Mus musculus: one gene and its partner. Each later gene encodes a partner of the first gene's protein in a complex. Links are inferred from orthologs where the notes say so. Each region holds a gene or a part of one and is shown in the gene's direction. Other genes may lie near its edges.

The links.
Region 2: the proteins of Oprl1 (region 1) and Pnoc are in contact, whole or in part, in a cryo-EM structure (PDB 8F7X), measured with the Homo sapiens proteins. The link is inferred for Mus musculus from reciprocal best matches to the Homo sapiens genes OPRL1 and PNOC. Residues at the interface, in NP_000904.1 of Homo sapiens: Gln107, Asp110, Gly114, Phe115, Trp116, Val126, Ile127, Asp130, Tyr131, Met134, Gln192, Glu194, Ile198, Glu199, Cys200, Leu201, Val202, Ile219, Val279, Gln280, Val283, Gln286, Gln291, Pro292, Ser293, Val298, Leu301, Arg302, Thr305, Tyr309; in NP_006219.1 of Homo sapiens: Phe130, Gly131, Gly132, Phe133, Thr134, Gly135, Ala136, Arg137, Lys138, Ser139, Ala140, Arg141, Lys142, Leu143.

The regions. Positions count from the first base shown.
Region 1 is NC_000068.7:181,713,502-181,718,109, forward strand, and holds the start of Oprl1 (nociceptin receptor), read left to right. Parts: upstream 1-1,514; 5' UTR 1,515-1,728; intron 1,729-1,846; exon of another isoform or gene 1,847-2,188; 5' UTR 2,189-2,221; coding exon 2,222-2,445; intron 2,446-3,000; coding exon of another isoform or gene 3,001-3,034; intron 3,035-4,453; exon of another isoform or gene 4,454-4,592; intron 4,593-4,608.
Region 2 is NC_000080.6:65,401,247-65,405,057, reverse strand, and holds part of Pnoc (prepronociceptin isoform 1 preproprotein), read left to right. Parts: coding exon 1-309; 3' UTR 310-354; intron 355-3,196; coding exon of another isoform or gene 3,197-3,282; 3' UTR 3,283-3,811.

The DNA.
Region 1 (4,608 bases):
GTGGGAGGGAAGAGGGAGAGAGAGAGAGAGAGACAGAGACAGAGACAGTAACAGAGAGTGCATACCTATGTACTATATATCTAGGGGCCTTGCTCTGTGCCTGCCTGTTTCCACACTAGTTTACATCCTGTTTGTATCTTTCTCTTTGTGCCTGCATTCACTTTGTGAGTTTTGTATATGTGATTCTTGTGTGCACCTCTGAGCACATATCCCTTGTGTCTCTGTGTCTCTATACTGCGCCTGTCTGGGTATCTCTGTGTATGTTCTGTTTATTTGCAGGAATGTGTCCTCATGTGTCTCCTTGAGTGTCCATGTGTCCCTGAGAATGGAGAGACAAGTCCTTGGAGACAGCTTGGGATGCTGAGTCCTGGGGTGTCTGTCTGCTCTGGCCTTTTCTGGTTGGACAGGTATCCTAGCAACACTTCTGTGAGTTGCCTAGCAACCAGGTCCCCATCCTTAGAGAAAGAGCAGGGTCTGGCTGTATGTGGGAGATCTGGCTCTCATTCAGTACAGACAGCAAAAGCAAGCCTATGATTTGATGATGGCTAGAGACTCAGCATAGGGTCTCTAGCCTACATGACCTTAACTTACGGCTTTTTTTTCTCAGTGGACTGTGACCCCTTGTGCTGGCAAAGAAAGAGGAGCTTAGTATCTCTGTGTTTTCTAAGATCTAATTCTGGGAGTTAGCTGTGGTGTAGCTCCAAGTGACCAGCAGACCTGGCTTTCCTTTACCATGACATATTGACAGGCAGCTTCAGACTTCAGAGACATGATGCTTTCATTTGTGAGGATAATATGGGTGGTAATGGCTACATGCAGTGGGGGTTCCTGGGTTCAGTTTTGTCTTGGGCTTAGTGTACATTAGGTATAAATAGCACATAATAGATTCAGGGCAGTATTTGGTCCTTAGTCCAGACAATCTCTTGCTTACTTGCAAGAAAGCCTTTCCTTGGAGAATTAGTTGGGTTAGGGTATTGCTGTCTATTACTGTGGTACTCTGCTTTACTGGACAGTTCTGGGCAGGAAAGCTGGCAAAATATGGTCTGGGCTAAGCTGGACAAAACAACATTTACCAGTGATGGTGGTGCACGCCTTAATCCCAGCACTCAGAAAGCAGAGGCAGACATATCTTTGAGTTCCAGGACAGCCAAGGCTACACAGAGAAATCCTGTCTCTAACCCATCACCCCTCCAACAAAACAAAACAAAACAAAACAAAACAAAACAAAACAAAACAAAACAAAACAGAACAAAACATTTTCCTCACATCTGCCTCTAGGTGAGCATTTCTCTGTATACATCTTAAGTGTGTTCTTGTGTCTAAGGCTGTGCATGTATGTGTGTCTGAGTTCCTGTTCATGTCTCCATTTTTGTGTTTATAGATGTCTCCACTGTGTGTCCCAGATCCTGAGTGTGTCTGTCTTGTGTGTCTTGTGTGAGCCGATTTTTTTTTTTTTTTTTTTTTTTGGCTTCCTTCTCCAACCTGCGCAGCCCCTCCTTCTCTCAGCCGCAGCCTTCTGCCCCTCCCCCTTCTGGCTGCCGCACTGGCTGCTGCGTCTAGTCAATATCTTATCTTCGGAGCAGGAGCTAGGAGCCATTCCCAGCCGGAGCAGACCCCAAGCTAGAGTGAGAAGCATTACTCAGTTCATTGTGCTCCTGCCTGCCTTTCTGCTAAGCATTAGGGTCTGTTTTGGCCCAGCTTCTGAAGAGGTTGTGTGTGCTGTTGGAGGTAAGAGGGGCTCTAGTGAGGGCTCCTGCTGCTGCTGACAGAGCTGGGGGTGGGGGAGCACTGGGAGGTAGGGAAGTGCCTGAGCCCTAGGCATTTCTGGGTAAATTCCATGTCTTTTGTGCTCCAGTGTGCCTTAGGATGGTTTGGGCATTTTTTTGTATTCGGCTGACTGTGAGCCCCTGAGTCTTGGTGGGTGGACATGTATGCTTGTGTAGCTACCTCCATGTTGCTTCTGTGCGAGTCTATCACCCTAATATGAGGTAAAATTGTGAGTAAATGTGCCCCCATGCCTCTGTGTGTGTCATCATGTGCCCATGTGTATGCCTTTGTCTGTGTCCATGTGTCTGTGTGTGGATGCCCATCGAGGTGTTCATGTGCCTGTTAGTGTAGTTGTGCTGTTCTAAGGCCTCAGTGGACTGTGTCCAGCACTGTGGTCACTTCTTTCTGTGTCCTGTTCCAGGAACTGTACTGAGTGGCTTTGCAGGGTGACAGCATGGAGTCCCTCTTTCCTGCCCCATTCTGGGAGGTCTTGTATGGCAGCCACTTTCAAGGGAACCTGTCTCTCCTAAATGAGACCGTACCCCATCACCTGCTCCTCAATGCTAGCCACAGTGCCTTCCTGCCCCTTGGACTCAAGGTCACCATCGTGGGGCTCTACTTGGCTGTGTGCATCGGGGGGCTCCTGGGGAACTGCCTCGTCATGTATGTCATCCTCAGGTAGGCGGGTCCCATCAATCTGTGAAGGGGGAACCTGAGGCAGGAGGCTGTTCTGGATGAATTCGAACAAGCATGGATTTTCTGCTTGCTCCATCAAATTTCTTCCCTCTCTGTTCAAGGGACATGATCACCCTTGAAGTTCAACTCCTGTTCTGCTCCCATCTGTCTCAGACTAGGTGTCACCACCTGGAGGCTTGGTACTGCAGATAAATCCATGCCGTGATGTCTATGTGAATAACCATGGGTACAAAGGATCCTAAGATTTCCCAAAGAGAGGAAGAGGGGCTGGTGCTGGGCCTGAAGCCCTTGTTCATTGGCCTTTAGGATCTATGCTCATGGTGGATGTCTTTAGCTGAGCCCATGCTCTATTGGTGCTCAGAAATGGGAAAATTTGGAGGACTACAAAGAAAGACAGCAGTACTGGATGACTGAGGTAGCGTCGACGGTGAGGGGAAGAGGGCAGTGTGAGGTACAGTTCTATGGACAAGAAAGCTGGGCAAGGAGTATGCAATTGGTAAATGTGTGGTGGCAATGATGGTCTCTGTTTTTTTCCAGCTGGGAGGGCATTGAGGGGAACTGGAGACAGCAGGTGAGGACTTGAATGCCAGAATGGGGACGCCAAATTCTTTGGACATTGGGAAGACATGGGAGGTCCTTGAGTGGTGGATAACTAGAGCAAGGTTCTTCACTGATATTTCCTCTTTCAAAAAGATGACTCTGAAGAGAGCAGTCATGGTTCCCTTGATGGTATCATGGTAGGTGTGGTATTGGTAGAGGAGGAAGGGGCAGTACAGTGTCCATACCCTGCCTCATTATGGTCCTCTTAGTATTTCTGAGCAACTGTTTTCTCTGTTTGTTAGATGGGAAATGTGGATTATATAGTCATATATAGGTGCATGTGCACAGACGTGTGTATATATATATATGCTATGTGATTGGAAAAGCATTCCAAGTATTGACTTTTGGCAGAGGACCCTTGTGGGAAACTATTCTATGATCCATGTGTCTCATGGTTAAAAGGATATGTCTTTGGCAAGACGTGCAGCAACCAGGGACAGTTTGTGAGCCTTGCCTTTCCTTGTCATCAGCATTTCTCTCCTATATTGTCCTCTGCATTTGGGATATTAAAATTCTTGAGCCATTTACTGCAGTAGAGTAGAGAAGGAACGCCATCTTTTCCACCAGCATCCCCAGAGAACTAGTCTCAGAAACTGCTGTGGCTGCACTGGCTCAGGAGACAACACACGGCATGTTTGAGTTGGATGTGTGCCAGGAGTCAGAAAAATATGCTCTGAGCCCCATTTTGCACCTTAGCAGTTCTAAGCCTTATGAAAGCTACTTAGTTCCTCTGAGTCTCAGCTTCCTTCTCCACAGCGTAGAGATTAAATGGCATTTTTGCTTTGGGGTAAACCTCAAATGAGATAAAATCTATGTGAAGAGCTTGGCTCAGATATCTACCATTATCATTAACATTGTTATTTATTGTAATTAAGGTCTCTGGGATTAATGTCTAAGAGACAGAACTTAATCTCAGATTCCCTGGTAGCAACTAAACATCATGGACTACTGTTATCTCTAGTGCTACCACCACCATACTGCCATAACCACCATAACCACTATAACCACCACCATTACCACCATCACTTTCATCATCATCACTATAGTCACCCTTCCCTACCACTGTCATAAACATTAATTCATTCCACTAATATTTATAACTTATAATGTTCCTAGCATGGTTCCCAGTGCTTGGATACAATCAAACCTAACTAGCACATCTCCTTTTTTCTTTATTAGAATAAAAAATATTGTGTTTATTTTTGGGTATGAGTGTTTCTGCTGGATGTATAGGTCAGATGAGAAAGTTGGTTTTCTCCTTTTACTATGTAAGTTTCTCCTTCTACCACATGTGTCCTGGAAATGGAACTCAGGTCATCAGAATTGGTAATAAGTGCCCTTACCAGCTGAGCCATTTGGCTGGACCACCATTTTCTGTTTTCATTGCTAGACAACATTGTGCACTTGGAAGATCTTTGATGAACTTTACAGGCAGTGCCCTGAAAACCCTCTGAGAGGAGTCTTAAGAGAGACTGAGGAGAGAAGACAGCATCTCTCTCTCTTGATTCCTTCCACAAATTCACATTCAGGTTAGATATGTACTCA
Region 2 (3,811 bases), on another chromosome or scaffold:
CAGCCAAAGGCCTCGGAGATGCAGCACCTGAAGAGAATGCCGCGTGTCCGGAGCTTGGTGCAAGTGCGAGATGCAGAGCCTGGCGCAGATGCTGAGCCTGGCGCAGATGCTGAGCCTGGCGCAGATGACGCTGAGGAGGTGGAGCAGAAGCAGCTGCAGAAAAGGTTTGGGGGCTTCACCGGGGCCCGGAAATCAGCCCGGAAGTTGGCCAACCAGAAGCGGTTCAGTGAGTTTATGAGGCAGTACCTGGTCCTGAGCATGCAGTCAAGTCAACGCCGGCGCACCCTGCACCAGAATGGTAATGTGTAGCCAGAAGGAGCCCCTCCCAGCTGCACCGGCCACTGCAACCCATGAGTGAGTTGGGCACCAACTAGCAGGGGGCAAGAAGTGACTTCATTTACCCAGCTGTCTCAGACTTCTTCCCAGGCCTAGAAACACATTAGCCAGCCCCCAATCTCTCTCTCACGCGCGCGCACACACACACACACACACACTCACACACACACATTCACCACCCAATCCCTCTCCCCACACACATCTCAAGGATTCCGGTCCTTGAGAGGTTTGGTTGGTTGAAGAAATTCACATCTCTGCCTCTCTACCCATTTCTCCAGGAAGCAAAGTTTTTCCCACCATTCTCCTTGAGGCTGACCACTCCCATTCAGAGACTGGTTACCATGGGGATAATAGTAGTATGTTAAGATAACTAATTCCTCTATAGCCCTCCAGGAGCTTAGTTACTATGGGGACAGTTAAGTGGACCAATTCTAACAGCCGGTTACCATAGCAACCATTCAGCTCACCTTTCCTCAGAGACTTTATCTGCAAAAAGCCAATAGCCAGCCCTCCTCTTAGCCATTTGCAAAGAGGCCGATTACCGTTCTGCTTCAAAGACAGCTTATCCACCTCACCCTGCATCGCAAGGTGGCTGGACTCCATGGAAACCGTTACTATTTCCCATTTGCCCTTGCCAAAGACTTTTTGTTGAGACCCAGAGTTATGCTTTTTGCTCTCATTTCTTCCTCTAACACTTTGGTTACCCTGGCACTTTGCCAAGGAAAGACCAGTTCTTTATCATTAATGGCGTCCTCGCTGAACCGGGATTCCAGGATTTCACCTAACGGATCGAGTGAGTTATAAAATATGTACTAATGAAGGAATTTTTTTTCCTTCAGTTTTTTGCCTCTTTCCAGGATAACATTTGTGATCTTTTCCTACCCTCCGGTACACACACACTCATATAAAGTCTATCAGAGAACTCAGAAGAGAAACCCAATTACAGTTGGCTGACTCCAAACCCAACTCTCACCAGTGCACTACTGTGGACTGGCATTAGAAATTAATAATTCCCAGTTAGAAAAAACCCAACTGTCAGGTCTGTGCCCCTTCATGTAAACATCTCCTGAGACAGCTTGGGGGCCAGGGGGACACGCCTTATACAAAAGCACCAGTTAGTCTGACAATATGGTATTGTCCCAACAGAAGCTATTCCCCACTTCTGAGGCAGAGAAGAAACAAGCATGCAGCCCCTTTTTGCTTCTTGCGCACCCAAGGCAGCCATGTCGTTCATAATCCTCTTTCGAGGTAGAGCCATCTATATGCTAATCTTTGGTGCCCACACTCTCCCATACAGACAGCCTGCATAGCCCAAGCTGTGAGGCTACTTGTCTGCAGCAAGCTTATCCCCCAAAATGGACACCCTTACTAGGTTTCGGGGAGACAGTTGCTGCATTTATCTTAACAGAATGATTCATCTCTGAAGATCTCAAGTGAACTTGCACACGCTGAAGTCACAACTTCTGTTCTTGGCAAGCAGTCTATTTCTTTCAAAGCCAGACCTATCTGATATCTAGTAGTAAATCTTCCAGAAGTAGCATGAATCCTTCGAAATCTTAATGACATTCTTCAAAGGGGCTCTTAAGGGACACCAAAGCTCATATCTAACTCTAAACCACAGCAATATTCTTTACAGTTTAAGATCAGTCCCATTAGCAAGAATCAATTTATTTGGAAGGAAAAAGAAAAAAAAACCAAGCAAACTATTTGAGCCAGACAATTGGTTTTTCTGATTTTCTATTATACTTCCAGCTGAGAGGTGCTGTAACAGGGCTAATAAGCTCCTTCTCTCGGCTTCTCTGCTTAACATGCAAAATTCTTCATGGATACATTAGCCAGCTCATTTGGGTATTATTAATGGCTGTCCTCTCGTCTCTCTCTCTCTCCCTCTTCCCCCCTCCCTCTGTGTGTGTGTGTGTGTGTGTGTGTGTGTTTCTGTCTCTGTGTCTCTGTTTTTGTGTCTGTGTCTGTCTCTCTGTGTCTCTGTGTCTCTGTGAGTGTCTCTTTCTGTCTCTGTGTCTCTTTCTGTCTCTTTGTGTCTGTGTCTCTGTCTGACTCTGTCTCTGTCTCTCTCCCTTTTGACCTCCCCCTCCCTCCTCCACATGCATGGTGCTGAGTTCCAGAGTGGATGTTTGTTAATAAGCCTGGCACAGCCAGAGGAGACCTTGTGTTTATGTGCATACACACAGCCCAACCTGCCATGTGCGTGATAGAAATCCTCCCCTGCTAGCCAGCTCCCATTGCCAAAGTTGTTCTTGGCGTCTAAGATGCTATTGCCAATCAATGCTCAGAAGATTGGAATGAAGAAAGGGGGCCACCCAACGCTGGAGTGGAATGGAGAACCTATTCCAAGTGTAATGATGGCCTAGGAGATGGGCCACAGTAGTGCAGACCCTGCTTTGGACAGAGATCTTGGGGACAGCCTCTCCTCTGACCTGTACTTCCAATACTCTTCTTCTGCATCTGGTCTTGACCTTCTAGACATTGGCATCACACTCATGATCCCACAGTCACGACATCTAACTTAGATAAGCCACATAAGAGAACTGTAAGGACTCTGTTTAACATAGACGCTGTGCCAAGAACTGGAGAGAGATGACTGTTACAGTTAAGAGGCATGTCACTGTGCCTTTTATGTCACAGTCCATCACCCTCCCTTTTATCCAATGCATCACCCCTGTCAGAAGTAGGCAAAAGTGGTAGGTAGGTGGAGGGCATCAAGTAAGGACCCCCTTCTGGTCACTTGGGAACCACTTGCTGCAATGGCCTACTTTGGGTTGCTTTAGTTCCATGGGCAAACAGGGTGGACGGCTCAGAAGACCTATCGAGTTTGACATTTTAATCATTTCTGTCTCCCCAGGCATCCAGGTGATCCCCCGTACAGCATGTGTCCACTCCAAGACCTGCAGGCCGGGAGTCAGGATTCCTCCCTCCCCGAGGCACTGAGCACCCACAGCACCTCCCTGCCCGGTTGTTGCCCCTCCCTCATGGCATGTCTCACCATGATCCTGTTGCTACATCAGAGTGTATTTTTGTAATTTCTCCAGCTAACATTTTAATGGCCCCATCTTCTCACTCATCTTCTGCCCTCTCATAGGGCCAGGTGAGAGGAACATGAAATCAGACCTGGGGTTTTGCCTCTTCACTGCCATAACTTGTTTGTAAAAGAGCTGTTCTTTTTGACTGATCGTTTAAAACAACTTTCTCCATTAAACTTCTACTGAGCAAATGGTTAATAAACTTGCTGCCTTTTTTTTTTAAGATTTATTTATTTATTTAACGTACGTGAGTATGCTGTCTTCAAACACGTATCGGATCCCATTGCAGATGATTGTGAGCCACGATGTGGTTGCTGGGAATTGAACTCAGGACCTTTGGAAGAGCAGTTAGTGTTCTTAACCTCTGAGCCATCTTCCCAGTTGCCTGATTGTTTTTTTTTTTTTTTTTAAGCGATGCCATAAGAGGCATAGACTCT